Saccharomyces cerevisiae S288C: one gene and its partners. The gene in region 1 interacts genetically with each later gene. Each region holds a gene or a part of one and is shown in the gene's direction. Other genes may lie near its edges. The genes, in order: GUP1, ELO3, ARV1 and BST1.

Region 1 (8,189 bases):
AAAGGACAACTGAGATAAAGTGGACCCTATCTTGATTATCAAATCCAAACTTTTACCCACACATTTATCACTTACGACCTTCTCAGCACAAAACTGACTTAATAGTTCCAATAAAATGGGCAAGAACTTCTTTTGCAATAATGCTGGCGGAAACTCTGGCAGCAGATTCACGAGACCCTCTAAGAATACGTATTTTTCTTCGTTATTTTTGGTAGGTAAATCGTCTAAAAAATTCAAGGTTTTGACTAACGGATCTTGGAAAAACTCAGAATCTAAAATCAACGTTATGTTATCATATCTGGAATAGATGTCTCTGTTTATTAGCTTGGGTATACAATGCCTCAACTTTTGTGGAACCTTACTGAATATATTATCCCATGACATTGTACTAATTTTGCTTTCAAACTTGTTGTACTCCAATTTATATTCACTAGTCGAATTTTCGCTGCGAAACAAGTCTTTACCAGTGTACAGAAAATATATCAACAATCCTAAAGAAAAATAATCGTTCTTAAAGGTTAGGGTATTCTCAAAAACAATTTCTGGGGCCGTATAATTCAATTGTAAATGCATAAATGGGGGAACTCTGGGATCATATTGAGGTAAGAAGTATTCAGAGGTATTTGTGCCTGGTGGTATTTTTACTAAATAGCCTAAGCCGGAAATTTTCCAATCAGAATTTTCATTGATAAATATTGCCCTAGGTTGAATGTTCAAGTGTACAAAGCTTGCGCGGTTATGAACAAAATCGAGTGCATTTACCAGTTGCAATATACCTCGCTGTACCACGATATTATCTTTAACATGACCTTGTAAGAAATTCTGCTCTTCATCATCGGTTTCTCTGAAAACGGTCTCCAATGAGCTAGTGACAAACTCGGTGACGAACATGAAATTCTTGCTATGTTCTTCTAATGGTTCAATTAAAGTCAGAATATTTGGGTGCTTGAGCTTGGCCAAGTTATTGGCCTGGTTTCTTAATATTTCGTACGCTTCTTGTATTAATACTTTATCTCTGGATCCAGATTTGGATTTAATAATACCATAGTGTAACAAATAGTTTTCGAACTGCTTCTTGTCAAACATGAATATCGATACTTTGGAAGGTGAAGATGAAGATGAAGATTTGGGACGACCGGTGTAAATGCTCCATGGTTCAGCTGTGAAAGTAGGTGATGATGAAAATGAATATTTTGACGTGATACCCGTCTTTGAGGACCAAAACATCATCCCTGCTCAATCAAAGTGTGTCCTATTTTCCTTAATGATACGATATTCGAAGTTACACTGTTTTGAATACTTTTGTGCGCTTTAATATGTGCAAGATTTATTTGTTTTGATATTAACTTCTTTTTGGCTTCTATTTTTTCAAGACTGCAGTACCCTTTTTTTCACGCAACTTCAGGTTCGAACCGAAGAATAGTTTAATTACGTTTAGTTTTCCTACTGAAACTTTTTTTTTAAAAGACCCTGAGAATTTCATCTCGAGAATAATGAAGACCAATATATAAGTAATGAATCATAAAAGTACAAGAGCAGGATCAAAGTTGAATGTCTCAACAACAGGACAAGAAAATGAGTGAAGAAGGAGCATATGTACGGGTGAGCATTTTTCTTGTATAAACATAAACTAGCTGAACATCAGCTCAATCGGACATAAAAATAAGTTTCCAATTAGACATGCACTTGAACTTGTAATTATTTATCGACCAAAAAGAGTAAGTTAATTTTCACATAATCTTGGAAAAGCCAGAAACAAGATTCGAGAGCTGGAGAATGGATGATGAATCAAGCAATGTTGAACAATCAAAATAATATAGGGTGTATAGGTGTTCACGTATTTCTCTTTATGTTTAGTGGGTGTGCCAAAAAGGACACTGAAAGGGTAAGAATAATAACTTAGCATATTGCTTTCGATATATAGATGTTAATCATACAAAGGCAAAAACAAAGCGTGAATCAGCATTTGTTAACAGACAATTGCAAGAAATGTCGCTGATCAGCATCCTGTCTCCCCTAATTACTTCCGAGGGCTTAGATTCAAGAATCAAACCTTCACCAAAAAAGGATGCCTCTACTACCACTAAGCCATCACTATGGAAAACTACTGAGTTCAAATTCTACTACATTGCATTTCTGGTCGTGGTTCCCTTGATGTTCTATGCTGGGTTACAAGCTAGTTCGCCCGAAAATCCAAACTATGCAAGATACGAACGTCTCCTATCTCAAGGTTGGTTATTTGGCAGAAAAGTAGACAATAGTGATTCTCAATATAGGTTTTTCAGGGACAATTTTGCGCTATTGTCAGTTTTAATGCTAGTCCACACTTCTATAAAACGCATTGTACTTTATTCAACAAATATCACTAAATTGAGGTTTGATCTGATATTTGGTTTGATCTTTTTAGTGGCCGCTCATGGTGTCAATTCGATAAGAATTTTAGCCCATATGCTAATTTTATATGCCATCGCCCATGTACTAAAGAACTTTAGAAGAATAGCCACCATCAGCATTTGGATTTATGGTATTTCTACGCTTTTTATTAACGACAACTTCAGAGCATATCCATTTGGTAATATTTGCTCTTTTTTAAGCCCATTGGACCATTGGTATAGAGGTATCATTCCAAGATGGGATGTCTTTTTCAATTTTACTCTTTTGAGAGTCTTAAGTTACAACTTGGACTTCTTAGAGAGGTGGGAGAATTTACAAAAGAAGAAAAGTCCATCCTATGAATCAAAAGAAGCTAAATCAGCCATTTTGCTCAATGAACGTGCTAGATTAACTGCTGCACACCCCATACAGGACTACAGCTTAATGAATTATATTGCATATGTTACTTACACGCCACTTTTCATTGCCGGCCCCATTATAACATTCAATGATTATGTTTACCAATCGAAACATACCTTGCCATCAATAAATTTCAAATTCATTTTTTACTATGCGGTGAGATTCGTTATTGCTCTCTTATCTATGGAGTTCATTTTACACTTTCTCCACGTTGTGGCAATCTCAAAAACCAAAGCGTGGGAAAATGACACACCTTTCCAGATTTCCATGATTGGCTTATTTAATTTGAATATTATTTGGCTAAAACTACTGATTCCGTGGAGGCTGTTTAGGCTGTGGGCTTTGCTAGACGGAATCGATACACCTGAAAATATGATCAGGTGTGTTGATAACAATTACAGTTCACTAGCATTCTGGAGAGCTTGGCATAGAAGCTACAATAAGTGGGTTGTCCGTTACATATATATTCCTCTAGGTGGTTCAAAAAATAGAGTTTTGACATCACTAGCAGTCTTTTCCTTCGTAGCTATATGGCATGACATCGAACTAAAGTTATTATTATGGGGTTGGCTAATAGTTTTGTTCCTCTTACCAGAAATTTTTGCTACCCAAATTTTCTCTCATTATACCGACGCAGTCTGGTACAGACACGTTTGCGCTGTCGGTGCTGTTTTCAACATATGGGTTATGATGATCGCTAATCTTTTTGGATTCTGCTTGGGCTCTGACGGTACTAAAAAATTACTAAGCGATATGTTCTGTACCGTATCTGGTTTCAAATTTGTAATTTTGGCAAGCGTTAGTTTATTCATCGCAGTACAAATAATGTTTGAAATCAGAGAAGAAGAAAAGAGGCACGGAATTTACCTAAAATGCTGAATGCCAAATTTACGAATATCAATTGTATAACACTGCTATCATGTATGTATTTTTATCTACTAGTACAAAAATGAAACCGAAAATAAATAAAAAAATATCGAGAGGAAGCGTGAAAAGCTAATGAACATATAATATGAAAATCTGCAGTATGATGGATAAAAATCCTCTCGAAAACTCAAATACGTTTTTTATATTCACCAGGCGTTTCAAATTTATTCTGGATCCACAGTCCCTTTTTTCTAGATCTTGCCAAAAATTCATAATATCGATACTTATCTTCTCTATCATCAAATTCTGTGTTTACTTTACCCTCATAAACAACCGCTAATCCATCCTTGAGCATTTCTAAGCTTAAGTCTTTCCACCCACCAAACCAGTCCCAGTATGACACTCGAGCTACACAACGGTTGTACTGATCTATAGATAAAGGCTTGACCCATACTTTCTTTCCCAAAATTCGGTTTTGTAACCAAATTAAAGCTTCATTACCAAACGGTTGAGCTGGGTTACCGAAATGTGCTCTTTCTGGGGCATCGATTCCACATAATCTTATAGGAATAGTTGGCAGGTTTTTCCTATTTTTGTAAGGTACATTTAGCTTCAAGAACTGGCTTTTAGCTTTTTGTATTTTACTTTTGGTGGACCTCCCATGCGTAATCCAATTGAAATTGAAAAACCTCATATTTCTGCTATCTCCAACAAGCTTTTCTGCCGTAGAATCATTCTTGATCATTTGTGGGACGGGTCGTAACCATCCCCATCCACCTCTTATACCACCTGGCATGTGAAAGAAATGAAAGTTGTCCCCGTCACCTACAGACGTGACTTTACCATAAAGCCAGTGTTTACGAAATATTCTTCGCGGTATATCATTTGTTCTTTTGAATTGAGTTAAATACCTTTTATATGTGTAGATCAATGTTAAGGTCGAACCCGTAAGGATGATGGAGAGGACAGCAACATCCGCAGATTTTTTTGAATTAGAATCACCTTCCCTCATATAAGTGCATTTATGCCCCCTTAATAGCTATGAAAAACTGGGCTTCTTTTTATATCATGTGTGACTTATTCTGTAATTTGTTTTTATTCTTCAACACAATTTTTTTTTTTTTGCATACCAAAGGAATCATAAAAGGTCAATGATGAAGAAAGATAAAAGAATTTTGTGACCAACAATTATGTCAGCGGATAGGAGTTTATCATATTATAAAACCGATTACTATTATCTATTAGAAATGTATATACACTTATTTGGCTTGTCGCTGTTCCCACAGACGCAATGTTATTGTTGCCAAAAAGCACGGAAGTTGACCTCTATCTTCCACCCATAGATTCATGAGATCATCCCATCCTTCTATATCTGCATCAAGGTTAGATTTCAAAGTGTTTTCATTTAGATCAGCAATCAAATATTTTTCAGGTTTGAAACAGGAAAATATTTTCACACGACTATCTTGTTGAAATTCCAATTTAAAACCTAATAATGAGTTTACAACGTCAATAAACTCCAAAGATTTATTATTGAAAACTTGCTTTAGTCTGGAAAATCTTTTATTTGACTTAAAAACTTCCTGTTCGAACTGTTTCAACTCGAAATTTAGTGAATCATAAACAGAAATGGGTACTGTTTCCACTGCTGGATTATTCTTTTTCAATTCGTTAAGTAAATCTGCATTTTCCTTTTCTAGAAGAAGTAATTTGTTTTTCTTGATAAATTGATCTTTTATGAAGGGGCCGTCACGTAATTGCAGTATACGTATTTTTTTCTCCTTTAGTTTAGTTAACTTTTCTAATTTTTCTTGTAGTAGCTGAATTGTAGTTTGTGCTTTACTCAACTCCCTCGAGACACTTACATTTTCCAGTTGCAATTCGTTGAGCCTCTGTGAATAATTTAAACCAATTTGGTCACTTGTCAACTTCCTCTTTTTTCTTTGTGTTTCTACATCATTGGAATTTGATAATAACTGATCGTTTAGCTTCTTTAGTTCGTTTGTTAAATCTTCTGTCTTATTTTTATAAGTATCGATCAAATTATTCATATCTTCGTTTACGTTCTTGTTTGACGCATGTGTTTCACTATTTTCGACCTCTAGTAAAGCATTATTTTGTGCGGAATATAGGCCATCTAATTGTTCGCGCAGTAATCGACATTCTTCGAAAGATAAACTCTTCTGTTGTTCTAACTCGTGATTTAATCTTTTCAAATTTACTATGTTGTTTTCATAATTCTTGTTCAAATCTAGTATTTGGTTTCTCTCTAAAGCCATTTCATCATTCAGTAGCTTTAAATTGTTATTGTCCAATCTTAACTTATCATTCATATCTGTCAAAATTAAACATTCCTTTTTGGTAAGTTTCCAGTCCCGGATAATCTCTTCAGGGTTATTTCTTATGTTATTTTTGGTTCTGTTGTTATTATTAATATTGTTGTTATTACTTGTATCATTATTATTATCATTATTATTATCATTTTTATTATTATTATTATTATCATTGTTGTTAACATTGTTATCATCATCATCGTCACTATCATTATAAATTTCCCATTTGGTTAATTTCGATTTTAGATCTATGTTTTCCAATTGAAGATTTTCATATTGACTTTCGAGTACGTGTAATTGACTTAATTTGTTTTGTAGTTTTTCATTTTCTAATTTCCAAAAAGTAGAAGTGTCCTGGGATTGTTTAAGTTTTTTCAATTCATTGGCTTGTTGCATGTTCGCTAGTTCCAATTCTTTAGTATACTGAACTTGGTCTTGGATCATTTTGTTCATTTCAGTGAGCTCGTTGAACTCTTCGGTGGAGTAGTTTGGATGTGAGTTTATCATCTTAGATGCTTTTACCGAAGATAATTCATCATCCTTTTCCATCACTTGATGCTGCAAATCTTTGATATCCACACTTTGCCTCTTTATTTCTTTCTCATATTTCATCAGTAGCGAATGAGAGCTCTCTGCTTCCAACTTGAAATGGTCACATTGGTTAGTGACCTTTGATAACTTCGAATCATACTGCTGCCTTAAAGTCTCCATTTCTAAATCTTTGTTTTGGAGGGTTGTTCGCAATTCCTCTATGCATTTGTCTTTATCATTCATCGAATTAGCTGATCTTTCTTTCAAACTCTTTAACTCTTGCTCCAATTTATCATTGCTTTCATAAAGATATTTTGTATCATTCAATGCTTTCTCTAATTCGTCAATCGTGGCCTTATATTTCTTTTCTAAGATATTCGTCTGTTTTTGTAGCTGCAATTTTTCAATCTCATACTCATTTTGTAGAGTATTGAGCTTGAATTGTAACGCCTGAATCTGACGATTACTTTGTCCATTTGTACTGCCTACGTCGGGCGAACCTCCAGGGCTTTCCAAGAAAGGAGAGGACCCACCACTATTGCTCATTTTGTACTGGATAGAATAGATCTCTAGTCCCAATTTTTTTCCAGTGAATCGTCCACTCAATGCACTGAAGAAACATTGCAATGCCGCTCTCACATCCATTATTTACTATTACCTCTCGATTTTAAGATGGAAAAAATTGTTAGGAATTATTCCTAGGGTAACACGCTATCAATTTTCATTGCTCCTTTAGCGATAAATAAGAGACTAAAATAAGATCAACTTCCTACACAATCTCTGCTCATTACATTTCGATGTCGTGGTGAAATTCTTATTCTGTATATGCAACGTAGAAGAAAGCAGCGTTTACACAAAAATGTCAAAAGTGTATGTTATTATAAGTTTTGAAAGGGATTTCAACATATACTAACAAATTCTTGAAATGTACCCTCACTGTCCTATTGTAAATCAGACCAAGAAATTTTAGGTTGTTAGAAGAATTAGAAAAGGGTGAAAAAGGGTTTGGTCCAGAATCATGTAGTTATGGTTTAGCTGATAGCGACGATATTACCATGACCAAATGGAACGGCACTATTTTAGGGCCCCCTCATAGTAATCATGAAAACAGAATCTATTCCCTTTCTATAGATTGTGGCCCAAACTATCCAGATTCTCCCCCAAAGGTCACTTTCATTTCCAAGATAAATCTACCATGCGTCAATCCAACTACGGGGGAGGTCCAAACTGACTTCCACACCTTACGTGACTGGAAAAGAGCCTACACCATGGAAACTTTATTACTTGATCTTAGAAAGGAAATGGCAACCCCAGCGAACAAGAAATTGCGTCAACCGAAGGAAGGAGAAACCTTTTAGTTATCTACTTTTTCCTAAACAGTATTTGCAGCATTCCAAGCCACTCATATATACAAGCAATAAGACATAGATATCCTCTTATTTAGGTAGTAAGTTTAATTACTTTCATAATATGAATTTACTCACCCCATGCCGAGAAGTTACTCGTGCAATTCACTACGATAATGATGTATATAGTTGTATTATCAATCCTTGCAACGGTCCTCATCCGGGCACACGAAGGTAAACCCTTAGATCTGCTAAAAAACAGACGACAGAAAGACTGTTGCACCCAAGATCGATAAATTTGTTCTCCAGTCCAAGCCAA
Region 2 (7,138 bases), on another chromosome or scaffold:
TAAAAAGATACACTTCGGTTTCAGGAACTTCTCTATCTTCTCCACGTAGAAGTAGTATGACACCTTTGTCGGCATCTAGACCTGTTATGAGCGCTTCATCAAAAAAACCTCAGGTATATCCAGCTTTGTTGTCAAGAGTCGCCACAAAATTTAAAAGTTCGATACAACTCGGGGAACATAAGAAGGATGGATTAGTTTACCGTGACGCATTTACAGGGCAGCAGGCAGTCGATGTCATCTGTGCTATCATTAGAACTTCTGATAGAAACTTAGCCTTGTTATTTGGTAGATCACTAGATGCACAAAAGCTGTTCCATGATGTGGTATACGAGCACAGGTTAAGAGATTCACCACATGAAGTTTACGAATTTACAGATAACTCAAGATTTACAGGAACAGGTTCCACAAACGCCCATGATCCACTGATGCTACTCCCAAACTCATCATCTTTTAATTCCGGGAACCACTCTTATCCGAATTCCGGAATGGTTCCATCAAGTTCAACTTCATCTTTGAATAGTGATCAGGCAACTTTGACAGGGTCGAGGCTACATATGAGTAGTTCATTGTCCCAGCAAAAGAACCCTGCAGCCATTCATAACGTCAATGGTGTGTTTACATTACTGGCGGAATGCTATTCCCCTACGTGCACAAGAGACGCTTTGTGTTACTCTATTTCGTGTCCAAGACGTCTTGAGCAACAAGCAAGGTTAAATCTGAAACCAAATGGCGGCCTGAAACGTAATATATCAATGGCATTGGATGATGATGACGAAGAAAAGCCATCTTGGACAAGTTCCGTATCTAAAGAGGATTGGGAAAACTTACCAAAAAAGGAAATAAAAAGACAAGAGGCTATTTATGAAGTTTATATCACGGAGAAGAACTTTGTAAAATCATTAGAAATTACAAGAGACACATTCATGAAGACTTTGGCTGAAACAAATATTATTTCAGCAGATATTAGAAAAAATTTCATCAAGCATGTTTTTGCACATATAAACGATATCTATTCAGTGAATAGACGTTTTTTGAAGGCTTTAACTGATAGGCAAAGAAGTTCACCAGTTGTGAGAGGAATTGGGGACATTGTTTTAAGATTCATTCCATTTTTTGAACCATTTGTTTCATATGTCGCTTCAAGACCATATGCGAAGTACTTGATTGAAACCCAAAGATCAGTCAATCCCTATTTTGCTAGATTTGATGACGATATGATGAGCTCCTCCTTACGTCATGGTATTGATTCGTTTTTATCTCAAGGTGTTTCAAGACCAGGTCGATATATGCTATTGGTCAAAGAAATCATGAAATCTACTGACCCCGAGAAGGACAAAAGTGATTATGAAGATTTAAGCAAAGCCATGGATGCATTAAGGGATTTTATGAAAAGGATTGATCAAGCAAGTGGTGCTGCACAAGATAGACATGATGTAAAATTGTTGAAACAAAAGATTCTTTTCAAAAACGAATACGTTAATTTAGGATTAAATGACGAAAGGAGAAAAATTAAACATGAAGGTATACTATCACGGAAGGAGTTGTCAAAATCGGACGGAACAGTTGTTGGTGACATACAATTTTATCTTCTAGATAATATGCTCTTATTTTTAAAGGCCAAAGCAGTTAATAAATGGCACCAGCATAAGGTATTCCAAAGGCCCATTCCATTGCCATTGTTATTTGCATGTCCAGGTGAAGATATGCCTGCGTTGAGGAAATATATTGGAGACCACCCAGATTGTTCAGGAACTGTAATTCAACCAGAATACAACACGAGTAATCCTAAAAACGCAATAACTTTCTTATACTACGGTGCCAAGCAGAGATATCAAGTTACATTATATGCTGCGCAATACGCTGGATTGCAAACGCTTTTGGAAAAAATAAAGCAAGGACAAGCAGCTATTATAAGCAAAACGGAGATGTTCAATGTAACGAAAATGAGCGATAGGTTCTTCGATTACACCAACAAAATTAACAGTGTTACTTCCTGTGATGGGGGTAGAAAACTTCTGATTGCAACGAACTCTGGATTGTATATGAGCAACATTAAAAGACAGCAGAATAAAGATCATAGACATAAAAGCTCTGCTTTTTTTTCAACTCCAATCCAACTAGTACAAAGAAATAATATCACTCAAATTGCTGTATTAGAAGAATTCAAATCAATCATACTTTTAATTGATAAAAAATTATACAGTTGTCCGCTGTCATTAATCGAAGCAGAAGGTAATGGGACATCTTTCTTCAAAAAGCATCACAAGGAACTGATCAATCATGTGAGTTTCTTCGCAGAAGGAGATTGCAATGGTAAGAGATTAATCGTGACTGCACACAGTTCATCGCATTCAATTAAGTACTTCGAGCATGAACATCCATTATTGGCCGAAAAAAATGGTAGTGGTAGCGGTAACAAAAAAAGTCTCAAGAAAAAAATCACCGAGGTTATTTTTGATTCTGAACCTGTCTCTATTTCATTTCTCAAGGCCAACCTATGCATTGGCTGTAAAAAGGGTTTTCAGATCGTTAGCATTTCACAGAATGCTCATGAATCCTTGTTAGATCCGGCCGATACATCATTAGAGTTTGCACTAAGGGATACTTTGAAACCAATGGCAATCTATCGTGTGGGAAATATGTTTTTGCTGTGTTACACAGAATTTGCCTTCTTTGTCAATAATCAGGGTTGGAGAAAGAAAGAATCGCATATTATTCATTGGGAGGGAGAGCCCCAAAAATTTGCAATTTGGTACCCGTACATCTTGGCATTCGACAGCAACTTCATTGAGATCAGAAAGATTGAAACTGGCGAATTAATTCGTTGCGTCCTTGCTGATAAGATTCGACTTCTACAAACAAGTACTCAAGAAATCCTGTACTGCTACGAGGATTATCGCGGGTATGATACAGTTGCGTCGTTAGATTTCTGGGGTTAAGATAGCAACGTATATAGACTTTCCTTATTTTCTTTAGAATAAAAAGCATAACTAAAGTTGTAAAAGGAGCAGAATTATGAATAATAAACATTGATGACAATAGTGGAAAACGACATAAATAATAATTTTATAATATAATAATGATAATTCACCGTCAGAGGGATTTGTATGCAAATGATTGATGACGCGAGAAAAAAAAACGCGAAATTTTTCTTCCCAAAGCTTCGAAGTTTTTATTCCGTCCACAAAGTGAAAAATTTTCAGAAAATTTTCCAGACTGTGAATAAACAAAAGGTTGGCTTACGCATTTGGCTTGTCTTTTTTTTTTTTCACAGGTTCTTAGTAAATAATTGTATAAAATATTTATCTGGAGTCTTCTGTTTGTTGTTTAGCCTTGTTTGAAGTTTTATTTAACTTATTACCCCAGTTAGGTACTGTGTATTTTCCGCATATCTGGTGTCTTTTTATTTGGTCATTGATTGGTTTTTGACAGCTCTTCACTCGCTTCAAGCTTACTTCTAGTTTATTTATTCGGCTTTTTTCCGTTTGTTTACGAAACATAAACAGTCATGAACACTACCACATCTACTGTTATAGCAGCAGTTGCCGACCAGTTCCAGTCTTTGAACTCTTCTTCTTCATGTTTCTTGAAGGTTCATGTTCCTTCCATTGAGAACCCATTCGGTATTGAATTATGGCCAATTTTCTCCAAAGTGTTTGAATACTTTAGTGGCTATCCAGCTGAGCAATTCGAGTTTATTCACAATAAGACTTTCTTGGCTAACGGGTATCATGCTGTTAGTATTATTATCGTTTATTACATTATTATCTTTGGTGGCCAAGCTATCTTACGCGCCTTGAACGCCTCTCCATTAAAGTTTAAATTGCTTTTCGAGATACACAACTTGTTTTTGACTTCTATTTCTCTAGTTTTATGGTTGCTGATGTTAGAACAGTTGGTTCCTATGGTTTATCACAACGGTCTATTCTGGTCTATCTGCTCTAAGGAAGCCTTCGCACCAAAATTAGTTACTCTTTACTATTTGAACTATTTGACCAAATTCGTAGAATTGATTGACACTGTGTTTTTAGTTTTGAGAAGAAAGAAGTTATTGTTTTTGCACACTTACCATCACGGTGCCACCGCTTTGTTGTGCTACACTCAATTAATTGGTCGTACTTCTGTTGAATGGGTAGTTATCCTACTAAACTTGGGTGTTCACGTTATCATGTACTGGTACTACTTCTTGAGTTCATGTGGTATTAGAGTTTGGTGGAAGCAATGGGTCACTAGATTCCAAATTATTCAATTTTTGATTGACTTGGTATTTGTTTACTTTGCTACCTATACATTCTATGCTCACAAATACTTGGACGGTATTTTACCAAACAAGGGTACTTGTTATGGTACTCAGGCTGCTGCTGCTTATGGGTATTTGATTCTAACATCTTATTTGCTTTTGTTTATTTCCTTCTACATCCAATCTTACAAGAAAGGTGGTAAAAAGACAGTCAAGAAGGAATCTGAAGTTTCCGGCTCCGTTGCATCCGGTTCTTCTACTGGTGTCAAGACCTCTAACACCAAGGTCTCTTCCAGGAAAGCTTAAATAGGAAGCGAGAATTTTTGACAGCGAATGAAAAAGAAAAAAATTAAATGTTAACATTTTCTTTATATTAAATATGTACGATAAATGAAATCATTATTATAGAAATGATAGATTATTGGCTTGGTGTTTTTCCCATTTTGATTAATCATTTCCTTAGCTGCCCAAAGAATTGCACGCTTACAGTGAGGAGTAGTGATACATTACAATTATAAAATAAAATTATATAGCAGCTAAAATTTAAAACAAACAGACTTTGTTCCTTTGTATGTCCTATGGAAGATACTGACTTGCAGTTTGTAAAGTGTCCAAGTCGTAATCCACTTTACTTGCCACGAATTGATCATTGAATAATTTAATTTTAATAATCTCTTGAGTTAAATCGGGATGTACTCTGGGAATGAAGTCATTTAAAAATGAGTACTCTCCCCTAATGGAGGAAGATGACTGACATTGCATTATCTTGAACAAAATTCTAATTATCGGCCCAGCATCATTATCTAAGTATTGGGACCAGAACGCGTTACACACAGGAACATGGATATCAAGTAACTCTTCAATGAAGTTCATTGGTTGTTCTAGCTCTCCAATAATAGAGTCCTCTGTTATTATTCTCTTCTTGAAACGGCCACTATCTCTAATGAAATTGCTTTGTTCACAATACGACCTGTAAGATATGGGTACGATGGAGTTTACTGTACTCAAGTAATCATATAAGTCCTCTTGAATGATTTGTAAAAAGATACTATCTATTTCCTTTGATATGGTAGAGTCCGATAAATGATGGGTATCGCTAAGAGAACCAAATGATAGGTTATTATTGCTATTCTGTGGTTGTTGTTCCGGTAATACAGAATTTTCTCCACCAGTAGGATCTATATCTATTCTTGATGCGGGCGTATTTGAATTCGAGTGGTTGTCGTTGTCGTTATCATGTTCGTTATCATTATTGTCGCTGTTGTTGCCGCTTCTATTGTTGATGTTGTTCGTCTGATTATCAGTGTGAATGTTCATGTTGCTATGATTGGAAGTATTATGACTGTTGTTAACGTTGCCTATTGTGTGTAAATTCAAAAACCTTTTCAATAAACTGAAAATTGATGTAGAAAGTTTGTCGACTATTTCAGAAAGTGAAATGGTATGAAAAGAATATTCCAGGACTTCTCTTTCGAATAAAATCGCAGGACACAAGAACATTGCTAAAAGGTTCATATCGTCTGAAAATAAAATGGTTTTGAATTCTTGAATTTTAGACAAAAATGTTTCAAATGGTGCAATTAACCGTTGAAATTGTAGGCTGCCCAAGGTGGACAACAGATGCTTTTCAATAGACATTATGGCGAACAAAACATAGGTAAAGTTTAAGCTTTTGGAAGAAGTAAAGAACTTTAGTATTCTATTGATGGAATTCAAAGTAATTAATAAATAGTCTATTATTTGAAAGTCGATTTCGTTGAATTTTTCAATTTGGATAGAAGATTGATATTCTTCTATTATGGGACGAAGGTTCAAAAAAGTTTGCAGTGAAACGGTGGCGGTAGAGTAACGGGATAAATCGAATTTCGAACAAACGAATTCGAAGCCAAATTTTTCACACAATGAACGGAATTTATCTAACTGCCACGAATTAGATTGTAAATCATCCAAAAAAGAATTGATTCTGGAAAAAATGGAATTCGAAATATCTATATTTGACAAATCAATTAGAGAGTCCAATAAAGTCAAAGGTTCTTTGGAGAATGATGATTGTCTCGGATGCGTAATATCGGCGGATTTAGGCGTACCGAACAATGGCAATATCGCAGAATTTATTATGGAAATAATGCAATTGTGATAATAGTTTTTAGCATTCGTATACGTATTCGGGAAAAAGGGTTGGCTATCCATTACGTTTAGTAGATCTACTATTTGAGATCTTGGTAGAGTGATAGAAATCACAGTATTTTGTAAACCAGGTAATTCTTGTGAGATTTTGAGCAGTTGAGCTGGAATAGATAGTTTGGGGTCATTGTTATATTCATGTAAGTTTTGGATGATAAGGGGTAAAGTCTTTACTTGGGAATGAAAATCATCATAGTACTGAATACTCAATATAGATATCGTGTTATTCCAAACGGAGTGGCTTAGAGAGAAAAAATTGATTTTTTGCATTTCAAATAATTGGTTCTTCAACCTGTTTGATAACTGATTAGATCTATCGGTTGGGTCCATTAGTAAGTAGTTTTTGTCGATAATCAACGACAAATCGGAATTGTTTCGCAAAGCTGTCCTTTGAATGATTCTATCGAGATTATATGCGATGGACCTGATAGCATTCAGAATTAAGTCATGGTCAATGAAGCTTAGTGAGTTGGCGTTCTGATTGATCAAAAGGCGTACGGCAGTGTTGTCTACGAACGACAGAGGCAAGTTTTCTGATGCAATTATGATCGCAAGCGACTGCACAAGAGGCAAGGCCATTTCTTTTTCCCTAGTTCTCTTCAAAAAGTCCTCGTCTATTTCCAGCAGGTTAGCAATGCTGTTCGTTGTGGCGCTACCGCCTTGATGGTTCTTCAAAGGTGGTCTGACCATAAAAGTAGAACCTGCTTCTACGCC
Region 3 (6,997 bases), on another chromosome or scaffold:
TGATAATTATTTCTTAGTTGACTTAAATGAATATTTCTCGGAAGAACGCCAGGATCACTAGTGGCTGTTCTGATAAAGGATGCTAGCGTTATGACCCAAAAATAATAGAAGAAAATGACCAGCACTTTATAACCATTTTGGGTATGCCACAATTTGTGAGCCTCAAATATGGAGAAGAGAACCATGGGACATACAATAGCAAGGAGAACACCTAACCACAACGGTTTGGCGCCCTTTACTGTCCTGAACCTGCCACCAAGGAAGAATATATAATTCGAGACATTCGGTAACGATATATAACCTTTTCCATCGTTTATATCCTGATCACCCTCCAAGGTAACAAGCCATCGGAAGAACAACTTCGTCAATGAACCTTCTCCTGTATGCTCTTCCTTTGTTATTGAGGTGCTTTCCGATCTTGTCGACCTTCTAGAGACCAAGGCCATTATCTTCCCCGTTTCTCTTCTTGTTACCTTACGCTTTCTTTCCTTTACATTTTTATATTTGCAAACTGTAATCTTGATAAGGCGCTGCTCGCCAATTTCCGAGTAGTTTGACAAAATAAACACAAACTGTTTATGTACAAGAAACTAGGAAAACCAAACAGAGAATCTCAAGCAGAGAAATAAGGTAATGAAAGTAGGTGGCATAGAAGACAGACAACTGGAAGCCTTAAAAAGGGCGGCACTGAAGGCGTGTGAACTCTCCTATAGCCCCTATTCTCACTTCCGTGTCGGTTGTTCCATATTAACAAATAACGATGTTATCTTCACTGGTGCTAATGTCGAGAATGCAAGCTACAGTAATTGTATATGTGCAGAACGATCTGCTATGATACAAGTTCTAATGGCAGGCCATCGCTCAGGATGGAAATGCATGGTCATTTGTGGCGATTCTGAGGACCAGTGTGTTTCCCCTTGCGGCGTTTGCAGGCAGTTTATCAATGAATTTGTGGTCAAGGACTTTCCAATAGTCATGCTTAATTCCACAGGTTCTCGTTCTAAAGTCATGACAATGGGAGAACTGCTGCCCATGGCTTTTGGTCCATCTCATTTAAACTAGCAGCAATCTTTATTTGGCTGCTCCCCGAAAAGAAAGCGAAAATTTTTTACTTATTTTTTTTTTTTTTCATTTTTCATATAAAGAAGAAAAACTGATATTATTATTATTCATCCCAAGAACGCTATTGTGTATATTCCTAGCAAGAAAAAAATAAGCAAAAAAATTGTATAATGAGCACTGCAACTACAACAGTTACTACCTCCGATCAGGCTTCTCATCCTACCAAGATATATTGCTCCGGTTTGCAATGTGGTAGAGAAACTTCGTCCCAAATGAAATGCCCTGTTTGTCTAAAACAAGGCATCGTTTCCATTTTCTGCGACACAAGCTGTTATGAAAACAACTACAAAGCTCACAAAGCTTTGCACAATGCTAAGGACGGCTTGGAAGGTGCTTATGATCCTTTCCCAAAATTCAAATATTCTGGTAAAGTGAAGGCTTCATATCCACTTACCCCAAGAAGGTATGTCCCTGAAGATATTCCTAAACCGGACTGGGCCGCTAATGGGCTACCAGTCAGTGAACAAAGAAATGATAGACTTAACAACATCCCTATATACAAGAAAGATCAAATTAAGAAGATTAGAAAGGCATGTATGTTGGGTAGAGAAGTTCTTGATATTGCCGCTGCCCATGTCAGACCAGGCATCACTACAGATGAATTAGATGAAATCGTCCACAATGAAACAATTAAGAGAGGTGCCTACCCTTCCCCTCTTAATTATTACAACTTTCCTAAATCGCTTTGTACCTCTGTCAATGAAGTTATTTGTCACGGTGTGCCCGATAAAACTGTCTTGAAGGAAGGTGATATTGTCAATTTAGATGTTTCCTTATACTACCAAGGTTATCATGCAGACTTGAATGAGACATATTATGTCGGCGAAAACATTTCTAAGGAAGCTCTTAATACTACTGAGACCTCAAGAGAATGTTTGAAACTAGCCATTAAAATGTGTAAGCCAGGTACCACCTTCCAAGAGTTAGGTGATCATATTGAAAAACACGCTACCGAAAATAAGTGCAGTGTAGTAAGAACTTATTGTGGACATGGTGTTGGTGAATTTTTCCATTGTTCCCCAAATATTCCCCACTACGCCAAGAATAGAACACCTGGTGTTATGAAACCAGGTATGGTTTTCACCATCGAACCTATGATTAATGAAGGTACTTGGAAGGATATGACCTGGCCTGATGACTGGACTTCTACCACCCAAGACGGTAAACTGAGTGCTCAATTTGAACATACACTGTTGGTTACCGAACATGGTGTTGAAATCCTAACAGCCAGGAATAAGAAATCACCAGGTGGCCCAAGACAGAGAATTAAATAGATCTAGGTATTTTTATCTTATACATATAGAAACCAATAAAAAACTTGAACTTGTACTTTCCCGAGTCCGAATTGGTTATTATGAGAAGCTATTTTTTTTTTTTACCTCTTTTTATATGAATCAAGCGTACATAATTTTCTCTATAACTATTCTTCGACATCTATTTGGTCGTTAGGCTCTTTCTGTTCTTGTCCTTCTGCCCATTGTGTTATATCATCGACATACGATAATATGGTTTCTATACTGTCAGGATTATTAGATTCCAAAGGTAAAAATTGAACCATACCGAAATCATCGACGAGGTTGGCTATGCACTGGTTCAGTCTTAGAAATTTAGGGTTGGATGCTTGATTCATTCCTTCCGTTTCCATTAATAACATTGCATCGGGATTCAAAAATCTTTTCAGTTTTTTCTTATTGATGTCGCCTTTTATCAAGTCTAGTTTGCTCAACACATTGATATGGGGTAGTTCCAATAGAATCATCGCAGACATAGCAGATAGTGCACCGCTAAAAAATTTTGAGCTATCTATCACAAATGGCGCTTCCAAAAGATATGTGGCGCAAAGGTTGAAATTCAGTTGTTGAGTTAAATGGCGCACTATGTTCGGTAAGACAGGGATATGCGTGTAGAGTTCAATTTGACCGGGACAGTCAAAGATTAAATATTCATCGTTGAAATCCCCGATCTCTTCGTCAAGCCAGTCTAGATTTTTCAAAAGATATTCGAAGCAATATATTAGCGCACCATTGGGGCCCAAATCCATTTCTTCCATGACATCATCTAAGGAAATTAAATCTCTAATGTCAATAGTAAATTCATACTTGGTAGCTTCTGCGGCAGGGTCTAAATTTACAATATGAGCTCTTCGTCCTACAGTTTGCATATGTGATATAATGGAATTACAAAATGTGCTTTTCCCCGCACCTGCAGGTCCTAATACCATGACACCAACGCGAGACATTTTCCAATGCTGATTACTCTATTTGTACTTGTTAAGTTTTTTTCACGATCAGGATGACTTGCCAACCTCTTAATTATTGATCTTTCTTTTTTGATCTTTCACCTCATCATTTTAGATTTTTTGCAAAATTTTTCTTAGTATTTTTTCAGTTTAGGGACAGCGGGCCAAATTGAATAGCCCTATGTGAACAATTGATGATTCAGAAACATCAATGGCATAAATCAAGCTGAGAAATTCTTGTCATTGCATAGAAGGAAGGTTTGGTGCGTCAGTGAACGGATGAAGCGCATCAAAAAGTAGATATTAGCTGTGATAAACGATGATTTGCATAACGTGCATGCGGCCCGTAGATTCCCTTTATACAGTGTACTCGAATGACCACATTCAGCTGACAGATTGTCCATATTGCCAAGAGACAGTAGACAAATATGTTGAGATAGATAATGTCCTGTTATTCATTGATTTGCTTCTATTAAAAGCAGGTGCATATAGACACTTGGTATTCAATGCTTTGGAATTGCATCTCTCAAAATATCCGAAAAGAAAAGCGCTAAATGATTGCCAGTGTTTGCGTGACTATACGCAAGCTTTGTTATTTAACGTAAAGAACTGGTTTTGTAAATATGACCGGTTAAATCGCCTTTGGCTTCTACTATTATCATTCGAGATTTATTTAACTTGGGTTACTGAGGAGAGTAAATACATCTACTATTTGAACCGTAACAATAATGATGGTAAGCTCATCATGCTTTCAAAAAAATTACCAGAGAGCTTCAAATGGGACTCGGCAATCATGCGCAATACCATTACAAGTAAAGTGTTTACCTGGAGCCCACCAATACAATATCTTTACTTTGCAAGTTATTGTATTCTTGACGTTTCTTTATTCCACACCTTTACCCAGTATTTCATACTGAAAAAGTTGCATTGGAAGCACTATTCCGTTTCTTCAAAGGATGTCATATCATATACGATCTTATTATCGTACGGTGCCAAAATTTTTCCGATATTGATGTTGATATGGCCTTATGATACTCTAATTTCGATGAGTATCATTAAGTGGGTAGCTAATCTCTATATTATTGAATCGTTGAAGATTGTAACTAATCTTTCCTATTGGAATATCATAAAGATTTTTATAAGTGTGTCTTTATTACGATATTTCATGGTTAAGCCAATACTTATAGTTTTCGTGGCAAAGTTTAACTTTTCAGTTATTAAGAATTTAATACATCAGGAGTTTATACTACTACTACAGAAGTCAGGAACTTATTTATTGTTATAAGCAAATAAAAAAATATCCAGTATTACTTGTATCAAAAATCTTATTTTGGCATTTTCACAACAAAATATATAAATATAGAAATAGCACCTTGGGATTTCAATCCAACATCGGACCCTCTAATTCACTCACAGCGTAAGGGTATGCATACGACTCTTCCTCATTGGCAGAATTCACCGTAGAATTGTCTCTTTCGTACTCGCGAATTGAACTCAATGCGATATATTTTGACAACGGCAAATAGTTCTTCTCGAAATCATATAGGAAACATAATGTCACTACTGGAAGCGGGAAAAGGCAAGATGACAAAACCCATCCTCCTTCGAATCCTGCCAGTGTTCCTGTCATTGTTAATTGAAACAATAGCAATCCAACGATGATTCTTCTAAAAATTAATGGCCATACTTTTCCTGTAGAATGGGGCAAATGATCTGTGGCAAAAATCAATTGATATTTATAGACGTAAAACCCAATAATAAAGTACGCCAGCCCTGAAGTCAAAATTTTCGTGCTCATTACACTGTAGATCAACGTTATAATCAAAATCAGAATTGGCTGTGGTAATTGTAGTCCAAAGTTAAATATCGGTGGATTGTAAAGTTCATTCCGTTGCCTAGGTGTCTTAGCCTTGATTTTCACTAGAGGAAAGCCGATCAAACTACCAACTAATAACAACTTAAACGGGAACATACCAATACCTTGCAATATAATCAAATCGACATAGAATAAGGAGAACTCCTTCACAGATGTAGCAAGTTGATAAGCAATTTTGGTGGTATCGCTGAGGTACGCCCAGTAATTAGATGCTGTACCTGCCAATGTGAAAACTAAGAAAAGGTTGACAAAAATATAAAAGAAATTTTTTGAAACAAGTGAGATTTCCTCTTCGCTGTATGATACCAATCCTTGATAAGAAGTCAAATACTCGTAAAAATAGGGGATTCCAAAGTTAAGCAATGTGAAGAGATAGGTTGGTAATAGCCCCGTTACAATGTTAGCGGCCCACTGGTGATCTTTTAGTAGCTGCCCTACGCTTGGCCAGAATTTCGAAAGTGTTTTCAAATTTAGCAATGTGGCTAAGTATGATACAGGAATGACTAAAAACAAACTTGAAAGGCCTATAAATACGGTAGTAGAATAAACTTTTGTTAACCGGTCCTTTCTAGAAAGACAAACATGATCCCACTTGATATCGTGAGGTGCAGGAGCCAATCTGGTTATGAAGTAATGTACTCTAGGATCTAATACCGCCTGAGCTGCCATTTGCGCATTAGCAACAGAATCCATCGTAACGAATGCCGTAGGTGTTGCGGAGTAGTGTTGTTTCCTCGCTTCAATAATTTCAGCATCAATAAATTTTAATTGCTGCTCCAGGTACTCTATGGCATCTACTTCCTTCCCAAAGATACCACGATATCCAATTTTCATTTTTGGTCTCTCTCCAAGAGAAATTTGAGAATATAGTATAGTATCCTCGTCATTATTATTGCTTGATGGAACATTTTCTCCATGTGTAACTGCGCCTGATTGCTCGTTTCCCAATAAATGATAGTTCTCCGAATATGGTTGTCGAGTACGGAGCTCCCTTGGACATTCTGAATATTTTAATTCCAGGTTTTTGAGTATTTTCTTCCGACAATGAAATAGCTTGTTCAAAGGACCCCACTCTCGACAAATAGTGATTGATGAAACGGTGCCGATTTTTAATTGTTCAATTCTGGTCTTTAAGGCTTCCGAATCACGAAGCTCTATCGGGATGCCTGAGAGCCTTATCGTTCTATCAGTAATCGTATTTTGCTTCCCAAGATAAGCTTGCCTAGTACTTACGACGTGCTTTGTTTCCGCAACTGCCATTTTAATTGCTATGAAGGTGAAGAAATATGTGAAGAGAACATACATCCAGAGGTACACATTTGTACGTTCGGGAGCTGAATGATTGTCACCATCGCCACTTCCCTCCACAATTCTTTTTACCAGATGTATTAAAGAACTTTCACTGTCATCATCATCGTTGCCGTCATCAATTTTTCCAGTAAAATGATATCTTACTGGAGATATAACGCACACAGAGAAGAAACAAAAAATAGAAAGTAATTTGATGCACATTTTGAAAAAACTCAAAAACACATACGCATCTAAACCTGCATATTCCAGAATCTGTTCGTCCCGTATCTTATACAACACTGTTAACCAGCCGAATAAACTTGACTGATTCCAGGACGGTAAGCGAAGGTTCCCGTCATCTTTATATCGTCTGCTTGCGTATAATCTAGGCCACTTTTTTAGTAGAATTGAGAACGAAAGCAAAGCAAAAATACCTAGTGAAGTAGCAATAGTCAGTTGCGTCGTTACAA
Region 4 (9,328 bases), on another chromosome or scaffold:
TTTTCTCCGTCGGCCGCGGGTGGCAAAAGCACGATCCGACCACAAAATTGTACTATTACATATCACATGGTATAGCATACAAGCAATACCTGTGAGAGGTTACTACACAAAAGCAAAAAAGTTTGCAAAAATCAGCCAAAACTGTGCTCGTATTCTGGTGGTCATTAGACACTCGCAATATTATTACACCACATCGCGTTCCTCTGAGCTGCTATAATAAAATAAACGCTATCTATTTTTGACTCCTCTTTTTGCCACCCTCGCCTTCCTTTTGTCCATATTCTCACATTGTACGGCAACTGCGGACTTCAGGTCAACATAAATAAAAATTGCACACGATAGGGTAACATTATAGTCACGTGCTTATAAAAACATTGTAATAACATTAGCAAATAACGATAATAACGATGCCGACACCTTCAAACGCTATAGAGATCAATGACGGTTCGCATAAATCTGGTAGAAGCACTAGGCGGTCTGGATCTAGGAGTGCGCACGATGACGGTCTAGATTCATTCTCAAAAGGCGATTCAGGTGCTGGAGCCAGTGCTGGTAGCAGTAATAGTCGATTTAGACATCGAAAAATATCTGTGAAGCAACATCTTAAGATATATCTGCCTAACGATCTGAAACACCTGGATAAAGATGAATTGCAACAGAGAGAGGTGGTTGAGATCGAAACTGGTGTAGAAAAAAATGAAGAAAAGGAGGTCCATTTGCATCGAATATTACAAATGGGTTCTGGTCATACAAAGCACAAAGACTATATTCCGACCCCGGATGCTTCTATGACTTGGAATGAATATGATAAGTTTTATACGGGCAGTTTCCAGGAGACCACCAGCTACATCAAATTTTCTGCCACTGTGGAGGATTGCTGTGGTACCAACTACAATATGGATGAAAGAGATGAGACCTTTTTAAATGAACAAGTCAACAAAGGTTCATCAGACATTTTAACTGAAGACGAATTTGAAATACTTTGTTCCAGTTTTGAACATGCTATTCACGAGCGTCAACCATTCTTGAGTATGGATCCGGAAAGTATACTTTCTTTTGAAGAATTGAAGCCCACATTAATAAAATCAGATATGGCTGATTTCAATCTAAGAAACCAGCTGAATCATGAAATAAATTCTCATAAAACACATTTTATCACACAATTCGACCCCGTATCTCAAATGAATACGAGACCTTTAATTCAGCTGATAGAGAAGTTCGGCTCTAAAATTTATGATTATTGGAGAGAAAGAAAAATTGAAGTTAACGGGTACGAAATTTTTCCGCAGCTGAAATTTGAAAGGCCGGGTGAAAAAGAAGAGATTGATCCCTACGTCTGTTTCAGAAGAAGAGAAGTGAGACATCCGCGGAAAACAAGACGTATAGATATCTTAAACAGTCAGCGTTTAAGGGCGTTGCATCAAGAATTGAAAAACGCGAAGGACTTGGCCCTGCTTGTTGCTAAACGTGAGAACGTTTCCCTAAATTGGATTAATGATGAATTAAAAATATTCGATCAAAGGGTAAAAATTAAGAATTTGAAAAGATCTTTGAACATTAGTGGAGAAGACGATGACTTGATTAACCACAAGAGAAAACGCCCCACGATTGTTACGGTCGAACAAAGGGAAGCTGAACTAAGGAAAGCTGAACTTAAGAGAGCAGCTGCTGCAGCAGCGGCAGCGAAGGCAAAGAACAATAAAAGGAATAACCAACTTGAAGACAAATCTTCTAGGCTCACCAAGCAGCAACAGCAGCAACTGTTACAGCAACAACAACAACAACAGCAAAATGCCCTTAAGACTGAAAACGGAAAGCAACTCGCGAATGCATCCTCTTCTTCAACATCACAGCCAATTACGTCTCATGTTTATGTCAAACTACCATCTTCCAAAATTCCTGACATTGTATTGGAAGACGTGGATGCTCTATTGAACAGCAAAGAAAAAAATGCAAGAAAGTTCGTTCAGGAAAAGATGGAGAAACGGAAAATTGAAGACGCAGATGTCTTTTTCAACTTAACGGACGATCCCTTTAATCCTGTATTTGACATGTCGTTGCCTAAAAATTTTTCGACTAGTAATGTTCCCTTTGCATCTATCGCGTCATCCAAGTTTCAGATAGATAGATCTTTTTATTCTTCACATTTACCAGAATACTTGAAGGGGATATCTGATGACATCAGAATATATGATTCAAATGGCCGTTCGAGAAACAAAGATAATTACAACTTGGATACCAAAAGAATCAAAAAAACTGAACTGTACGACCCATTCCAAGAAAATTTGGAAATTCATTCGAGAGAGTATCCAATAAAATTCAGGAAGAGAGTTGGTAGATCTAATATTAAGTATGTTGATCGTATGCCAAATTTTACAACATCGTCGACCAAGTCTGCATGTTCTTTAATGGATTTTGTAGATTTCGATTCAATCGAAAAAGAACAATATTCAAGAGAAGGTAGTAACGATACTGACTCGATTAATGTTTACGATTCCAAATACGACGAATTTGTCAGACTTTACGACAAGTGGAAGTATGATTCTCCACAAAATGAATATGGGATCAAGTTTTCAGATGAACCGGCAAGACTTAACCAGATTTCAAATGATACTCAGGTGATTAGATTCGGAACAATGTTGGGTACGAAGTCCTACGAACAATTAAGGGAAGCCACCATAAAGTATCGTAGGGACTATATCACCAGACTGAAACAAAAGCATATACAACATTTACAACAGCAACAACAACAGCAGCAGCAGCAACAGCAGCAAGCACAACAACAAAAGCAGAAATCACAGAACAATAATTCAAATTCTTCGAACTCCCTAAAAAAATTAAATGATTCGTTAATCAATTCAGAAGCGAAACAGAACTCTTCTATAACCCAGAAAAATTCATCATGAGCAGCACAACTTTGTACCTCTCGAACATCTTTCTACGCATTGGCATTTAACAAACCTGACATTCAAAGTTTACTACGAAAGTCGAGGCAACATTACTGAAGATTCAAATCACCGAAATGAACACCGATAACGCAATAATAATGAAAAAAAACAAAAAACAAAAAAAGATAACTACAATAAATTTCAAAAGAAAAATAGCAAGTATCATCCGGCTGTAATATTATCACCTTCACAAGACTACATATTTTTAACGTTTTTTTTAATTTCCATTTCACACGGTTGTGACCTTTTGATTTTTCGCATGATTTCATCCCAAATGCTTGATGTATTTAAGTTAGATTCATACTCTTATATAGACAATTGCATAACTCACTAGGTACCCTCAAATAAATGCATTTCTTCTTATTATCCATTTTTTTTTCCTGTATGGCGCGAATTTTGAAAAAGGTCTAAATATACCAACCAAGTCATAACAAGAAAAAGTAAAAATGAGTCTCAACACATTCCTTGCAGTTCCATCTGATAGTAAATTCACACTCGAAATACTCCCTCTACTTTAAAGCATTGGCCTATATCTTAGGCTTACCATCATACAAAAATCTTCATTTCGTTATGGGTATCAGGAGATTAGTTAGTGTTATAACGCGGCCCATAATTAATAAAGTTAACTCATCTGGTCAATACTCGAGAGTACTCGCTACGCGTGAAGACCAGGATAAAGCTTCCCCCAAATATATGAACAATGATAAGATAGCAAAAAAACCTTACACATATCGCCTTTTCTCTATTCTTGGCATTTTAAGCATTTGCTCGCTTTTATTGATATCGCTACTGAAACCTTTTAATGGTGCAGATGCTCCTCAGTGTGAATCTATCTATATGTTTCCATCTTACGCAAGGATCGATGGATTTGACGAGAGGTATACACCACTGGCACACAAGTATCATCTTTACTTGTATCGAGAACAAAGCGTAGACCGAGAACCTTTAAATGGTGATGAGTTACAACTTGATGGTATCCCTGTACTTTTTATACCCGGAAATGCAGGTTCTTTTAGGCAATGCAGATCGATTGCTTCCGCTTGCTCCAATATATATTTTGATTCCAATACCAGGGCGACTCTGCGTAACGAAAATGTGCGAAATTTGGACTTCTTTACGGCAGATTTCAATGAAGATTTCACTGCGTTTCATGGTGAAACAATGCTTGATCAAGCTGAATACCTAAATGATGCCATTAAGTACATCTTGTCTCTTTACGAAAGGACCCCTGATTACCCACATCCAAAACCGCAGTCAGTTATTATCGTGGGACATTCCATGGGCGGTATTGTATCCAGGGTCATGCTAACTTTGAAGAACCACGTACCGGGAAGTATAAGCACCATATTGACCTTATCATCACCTCATGCTGCTTCACCAGTAACCTTTGATGGTGACATTTTAAAGCTTTACAAAAATACAAACGAATATTGGAGAAAGCAGTTATCCCAAAACGATTCTTTTTTCTCTAAGAACATTTCATTGGTTTCCATTACAGGCGGTATATTGGATACTACTTTACCTGCAGATTATGCATCTGTAGAAGATTTGGTTAGCTTAGAAAATGGGTTCACCAGCTTCACAACTACTATTCCAGATGTTTGGACTCCAATTGATCATTTAGCCATTGTTTGGTGCAAGCAATTAAGAGAGGTACTAGCGCGCCTTTTATTGGAAAGTATAGATGCCTCCAAACCTGAAAAAGTTAAGCCATTGAATCAGAGATTGCAAATCGCTAGAAAACTATTGCTTTCAGGGTTTGAAGACTACTCATGGATGAATAGTAAGTTAAATTATCCTCAAGAAAACTTACAAGAATTTAGTGACAACTTCTTTTCTGATTACGCTACTTTGGAAATGAACGATGTCCTAGATTTTGAAATGTTTAACCTGGAAAAGTGGCACAACAATTATACAAAAATAAATATTCCGAGTAACATCTCCTCCACTGAACACCTGCATTTCACATTATTAACTAGTCTCGATATGCCTATGATCTATTTCTGTACAGAGTCCAGGGTGAATCTAAGCTGTATAACAGCTGTTGATAGTATTCTAACAGTGCCCAGGTCTTCAAAAGATACTCAGTTCGCAGCTGATTCTTCTTTTGGAGAAGCAAAAAATCCGTTTAAAGCCGTTAGTGTTGGCAAGAATATACTACAGAAGTACGACTACTTGATGATAAGCAAACCCACTTACGGTGAATTTTCAGAACAAGAAGGCATGGAGGACAATCAGGGGTTTCTTTTGGCATTACTGCGCAACGTCTCCAATGTACAAATAGTCAATACTACACCTTCTCAAATATTGCTCTTTGGAGAACAACTACACTTGGATGGCAAAGACATCGAGCAGGTTATAAGTTTCAGTAATTTGTGGGATTCTTTATTATCGTACAAATTAGAAACCAAGATTGAGGCAAGCAACGAAGGTATTGCTTCCGAAGAGACATTGTTTCAGCCTTTCATAAGGCAATGGGTTTACGAACCTTTCGAGTCTAAATGGCATCTAAATATTATAAACAAAAGTCTCGATATAAATATGCATAATGTAGCACCGTTTATCCCATTAAATGAAAGCGAACCGAGATCGCTACAATTAAGTTTTTTTATTCCACCCGGAATGTCCTTAGAAGCTAAAATGACTATTAATTGGTCTTTAACTTTGAAAATGCTGTTTATCAGGTACAGATTAGCACTAGCATCTTTTCCAGTCGCGTTTATAGCACTCGTACTGTCATACCAGTTCTACTGGTACAACAAGACATCTGAGTTTCCTTCCTTTGATAGCACTTTGGGATATATTTTAAGAAAGCACGGAATATTAATGTTTTTTACGCTGTTCTTAGCTTCGCCTGTGGTTAATAATAAGTTGGTACAACGAATACTTTATTTATTGGATCCTGTCGGTTTAAATTATCCATTTCTGCTATCCGAGAGAAACATGCATGCAAATTTTTATTATTTGGGGATCAGAGATTGGTTTATGTCAACTATTGGAATTCTCTTTGGGGTTATGACAGTTGGATTACTAGCACTAGTTTCTAAGATTTTTGGATCCTTGGAAATTTTAGTAATATTCCTTCAACGGAAGTTATCAAAGAAAAACACTGAAGATAAAGAGGCTTTTGATACTATTGAACATAAAGCGTATGGTAAGGGAAGATTAATGGCATCTGTGCTTTTATTACTGTTGGTATTTTTTCACATACCATACCAGATGGCGTTTGTTATCTCATTAGTAATCCAAATTGCTACCTGCATTAGAGTAGCGCTGTTGAAACTATCAAACAACGAGCAGAAATTGAACTTACTAAATTATAATATGACGTTGCTTCTGCTTTTATTATTTGTTAGTGCCATTAACATCCCTATCATTATTGTTTTCCTGCATAATGTTGCCATCAAATGGGAAACTTCATTTAGATCCCATCACAATATACTAGCAGTGGCACCAATTATTTTTTTGGTTGGAAATAATTCTATTTTCAAAATGCCAAACAGCGTACCTTTAGACACGTGGGATGGTAAAGTTACCATCATTTTATTTGTGTACTTAACCGTTTTCAGTTTCATTTATGGAATAAGAAATCTGTACTGGATACACCACTTGGTGAACATAATATGTGCCTGGTTGCTATTTTTCGAAACAATACATTAGAACTACAACCCAGTAAAAAAAGATTAACTGTATATATTGCCTGAGAGTTCTAGATCATGGCAAGAAAAAAGCTTGAACTCGTAAAAGCAAAGGTGGTTTCTACCACTACTTACGAGATGTTTATTATGTAAAGGAGTTTAAATATTATCAAATAAGAAAGATACCATTTTTTTTTATAGAGAATGTGGTGCATCTGATGAGCACCTGAATCTAGTAGTAACCTTATACCGAAGGTCACGAAATTACTTTTTCAAAGCCGTAAATTTTGATCATAAATTATTATTATCTTCAGTCCAGAACTTTCTGGCTTCCTCATCAGCTGCCGTATCGGGAGTGTACATGTCGACGGGTTCAACTTCTCCCTCTTTGTAACTTGCATCAGCAAACGGTCCTATCCTAGTATTTTTTGAACTCGTAGGTGTGGGCAACTGATAAAACTGATTTTTCTCTATATCATCTGCAGTCTCAGAAACAAAAGTTCTTTCCGAATGTTTATCCGATGTTGTTTCCTTCCTTCTAGGATATAGGTCATATAATCTACTTCTGAGACTGCTTTTAGCATCGTTGTTGATACTATCAGTTTGAAAGCTAGACAGCGTGCCTGGATAAAACCTATCTGTGGATGTTGTAAAGTCTGAAGTAATTGTGTTTGTTTTGGATGCATTATTAGCAGCCGTGGCCCACATTGATGATAATGGTAAAGACAATACAGCAAGTAATGTTGCAACAGTAGTCAAGACATCTGTTCCCTGGTTTGGTTTCAAACTGTATGCGAGGATGAATATTATCGATGGAACCAACAAAGATTGACATGACATTATGAGTAAAATATGGAAACTATCGAACTGCTTGAGACCAAGGAATCTTCTTGATCTAATAGCTAAAATCAATTTAACTACCAGGACAAATGACATAAAGTTTATTGAGGATGCAAGTAAAATTGTGGATGCATTGAAGTATTTATCTTGGGTGGCACTAACATCATTATAAGTCACAATCATACCTTTAACAGCGCTTACAAAATACATGGTAACTGTAGCAATCCCTAAAGTGAAAGATATCGACGTCAGCATCAAACCTATCCTTTTGAAGTTGTCGCCTGTGAAAATAACTTTTATCTGAAACACCAGTGAAGTCTCAATAGAAGCCACAAGAAGGACTTGAATTATATTTGTAGCACCATAAACATGAACGTCACCTCTACTGATGAACTGAGGAAATCCGGTGAGAGCGTAAGTCACTGAAGAGTAATTAGACAGTAAATATTTAAAATAGAGTGCAGAATGCAAAATGATTAAAAACAATGAAACTTGGTTGATAATGAAAATCGGCGTTTTTCTGCTTCTCGATGTCATCCACATGACAATCAAAGTCAAAGCAGCTGCACCACATCTGACACCAAACATAATGGCCTGAGTAACAGTACTGTTAACTAAACCTTGCAACTCATCGAAAGTGATGGTAGATCCATTCCCATATATGGAAGTGTAGTTAATGGTGCTTTGACCAGGATTATACGTTGGATCATAAAATAGATTGCTCAATGAAGGAGCCGCATCAGACATTTTTGATTCTTGGATATGGTTCTTAACGGTGCATTTTTAAGTAACCAATTATAATTATAGCCAGAGCAGGTGAAAAGAAAAGGTATCGTATTGCTTTGAAGTCAAATAAGATACTAATAGCACTCCTTAAATAGTATTCCACCCACAGAAAAAAATCTTGAATATGTAGGAAAGCTTTTTTCTTCATATGTGTTTCATCATGTACTTACCCAATTAGGAAATTTACATGGTTGAAAAAACTTCAATCTGCGACTTGCCAGGCACAGGTCCTAAGCAGTATGGACGTTGGCCTGCTTAAATTCTTAGCGGATACTATTGTTTCATTGCAAAGCAGGATACTTCTTCTCGTTTATACTAGCCTGTCTTAATGCACGAGACATTTACCCACAGAGCAAGACGTATATTGACGGATTGCAACACCTATTCGAGCACTACAGCGTGTGACAATGCATTTTGGCAGGCATTGGATAACATATCCGGACTATTCTACAGTTCGTTCTATGCTCTTATCTTGAATCTTTGGTGTATTAAAAAGCTTATTGAGGTTTCATAGCTAAATTTTTCCTTTTTTCTCTCTGGGAAGGGAAGATTATCTTGAATTGGCAAAGTAAAGAAATAAAGAGAAAATTTAGCAAATGACATAGAACAAGCCAATTAACAAAATACGATGCCATTAAGGTCATTATTTCATACTAATCAGAGTAGCCACGACAAAGACGCGTTGACAAGGGGAGGTTATAACGCATATCTGGAATCACTTTCTCGTTGTGACAGTGGAAAGGCAGAAGAACAAAAAGGAAAAGTTATATCAAAGTTATTAGAGAAAAAAGATGTCCGAGCTTTGAGGTACATAGGTTTAGGGCCTCTGGGGTTTGTAAACAACTCATTAAGAAAAGATTGTTGGTATGAATTATTGGCGTCCCAGTTGCTTATTGATGATGCAACAGAGTACATTACACCAGTGGAAAAACATAAAGATGAAGGTCAGGTGATATTGGATGCAGAAAGGTCTTTTGGTGGAATTGTCGACAAAAACTTGAAACTGCAATTGAGAAAACTACTGGTGGAGTTAATTACTCGGGTATTGAGAAAGTACCCAACGTTGAACTATTACCAAGGTTATCATGATATTGTGTCTGTTTTCATCATGTGTTT

Evidence for each region.
Region 2: mutations in GUP1 (region 1) and ELO3 together harm fitness less than expected from each alone (positive genetic interaction), as found in Saccharomyces cerevisiae (5 studies listed by BioGRID).
Region 3: mutations in GUP1 (region 1) and ARV1 together harm fitness more than expected from each alone (negative genetic interaction), as found in Saccharomyces cerevisiae (4 studies listed by BioGRID).
Region 4: mutations in GUP1 (region 1) and BST1 together harm fitness less than expected from each alone (positive genetic interaction), as found in Saccharomyces cerevisiae (4 studies listed by BioGRID).

The regions. Positions count from the first base shown.
Region 1 is NC_001139.9:346,099-354,287, reverse strand, and holds GUP1 (O-acyltransferase), read left to right. Parts: upstream 1-1,989; coding exon 1,990-3,672; downstream 3,673-8,189. Other genes in the region: SCY1 (Scy1p), read right to left, coding at 1-1,230; LCL3 (Lcl3p), read right to left, coding at 3,848-4,672; coiled-coil domain-containing protein MAD1, read right to left, coding at 4,920-7,169; E2 ubiquitin-conjugating protein MMS2, read left to right, coding at 7,384-7,394, 7,480-7,882; YGL088W (uncharacterized protein), read right to left, coding at 8,087-8,189. UniProt on the Saccharomyces cerevisiae protein: Membrane-bound O-acyltransferase involved in the remodeling of glycosylphosphatidylinositol (GPI) anchors. Acts only on GPI-anchored proteins, but not on free GPI lipids.
Region 2 is NC_001144.5:863,846-870,983, forward strand, and holds ELO3 (fatty acid elongase ELO3), read left to right. Parts: upstream 1-3,508; coding exon 3,509-4,546; downstream 4,547-7,138. Other genes in the region: Rho family guanine nucleotide exchange factor ROM2, read left to right, coding at 1-2,939; VID22 (Vid22p), read right to left, coding at 4,817-7,138.
Region 3 is NC_001144.5:620,567-627,563, reverse strand, and holds ARV1 (sterol homeostasis protein ARV1), read left to right. Parts: upstream 1-3,680; coding exon 3,681-4,646; downstream 4,647-6,997. Other genes in the region: palmitoyltransferase ERF2, read right to left, coding at 1-446; CDD1 (cytidine deaminase), read left to right, coding at 634-1,062; methionine aminopeptidase MAP1, read left to right, coding at 1,233-2,396; putative signal sequence-binding GTPase GPN3, read right to left, coding at 2,543-3,361; CSC1 (Csc1p), read right to left, coding at 4,743-6,997. UniProt on the Saccharomyces cerevisiae protein: Mediator of sterol homeostasis involved in sterol uptake, trafficking and distribution into membranes. Also regulates the sphingolipid metabolism. Required for growth during anaerobiosis and sterol uptake.
Region 4 is NC_001138.5:81,425-90,752, reverse strand, and holds BST1 (Bst1p), read left to right. Parts: upstream 1-3,518; coding exon 3,519-6,608; downstream 6,609-9,328. Other genes in the region: EPL1 (Epl1p), read left to right, coding at 408-2,906; alpha-factor pheromone receptor STE2, read right to left, coding at 6,878-8,173; GTPase-activating protein GYP8, read left to right, coding at 8,841-9,328.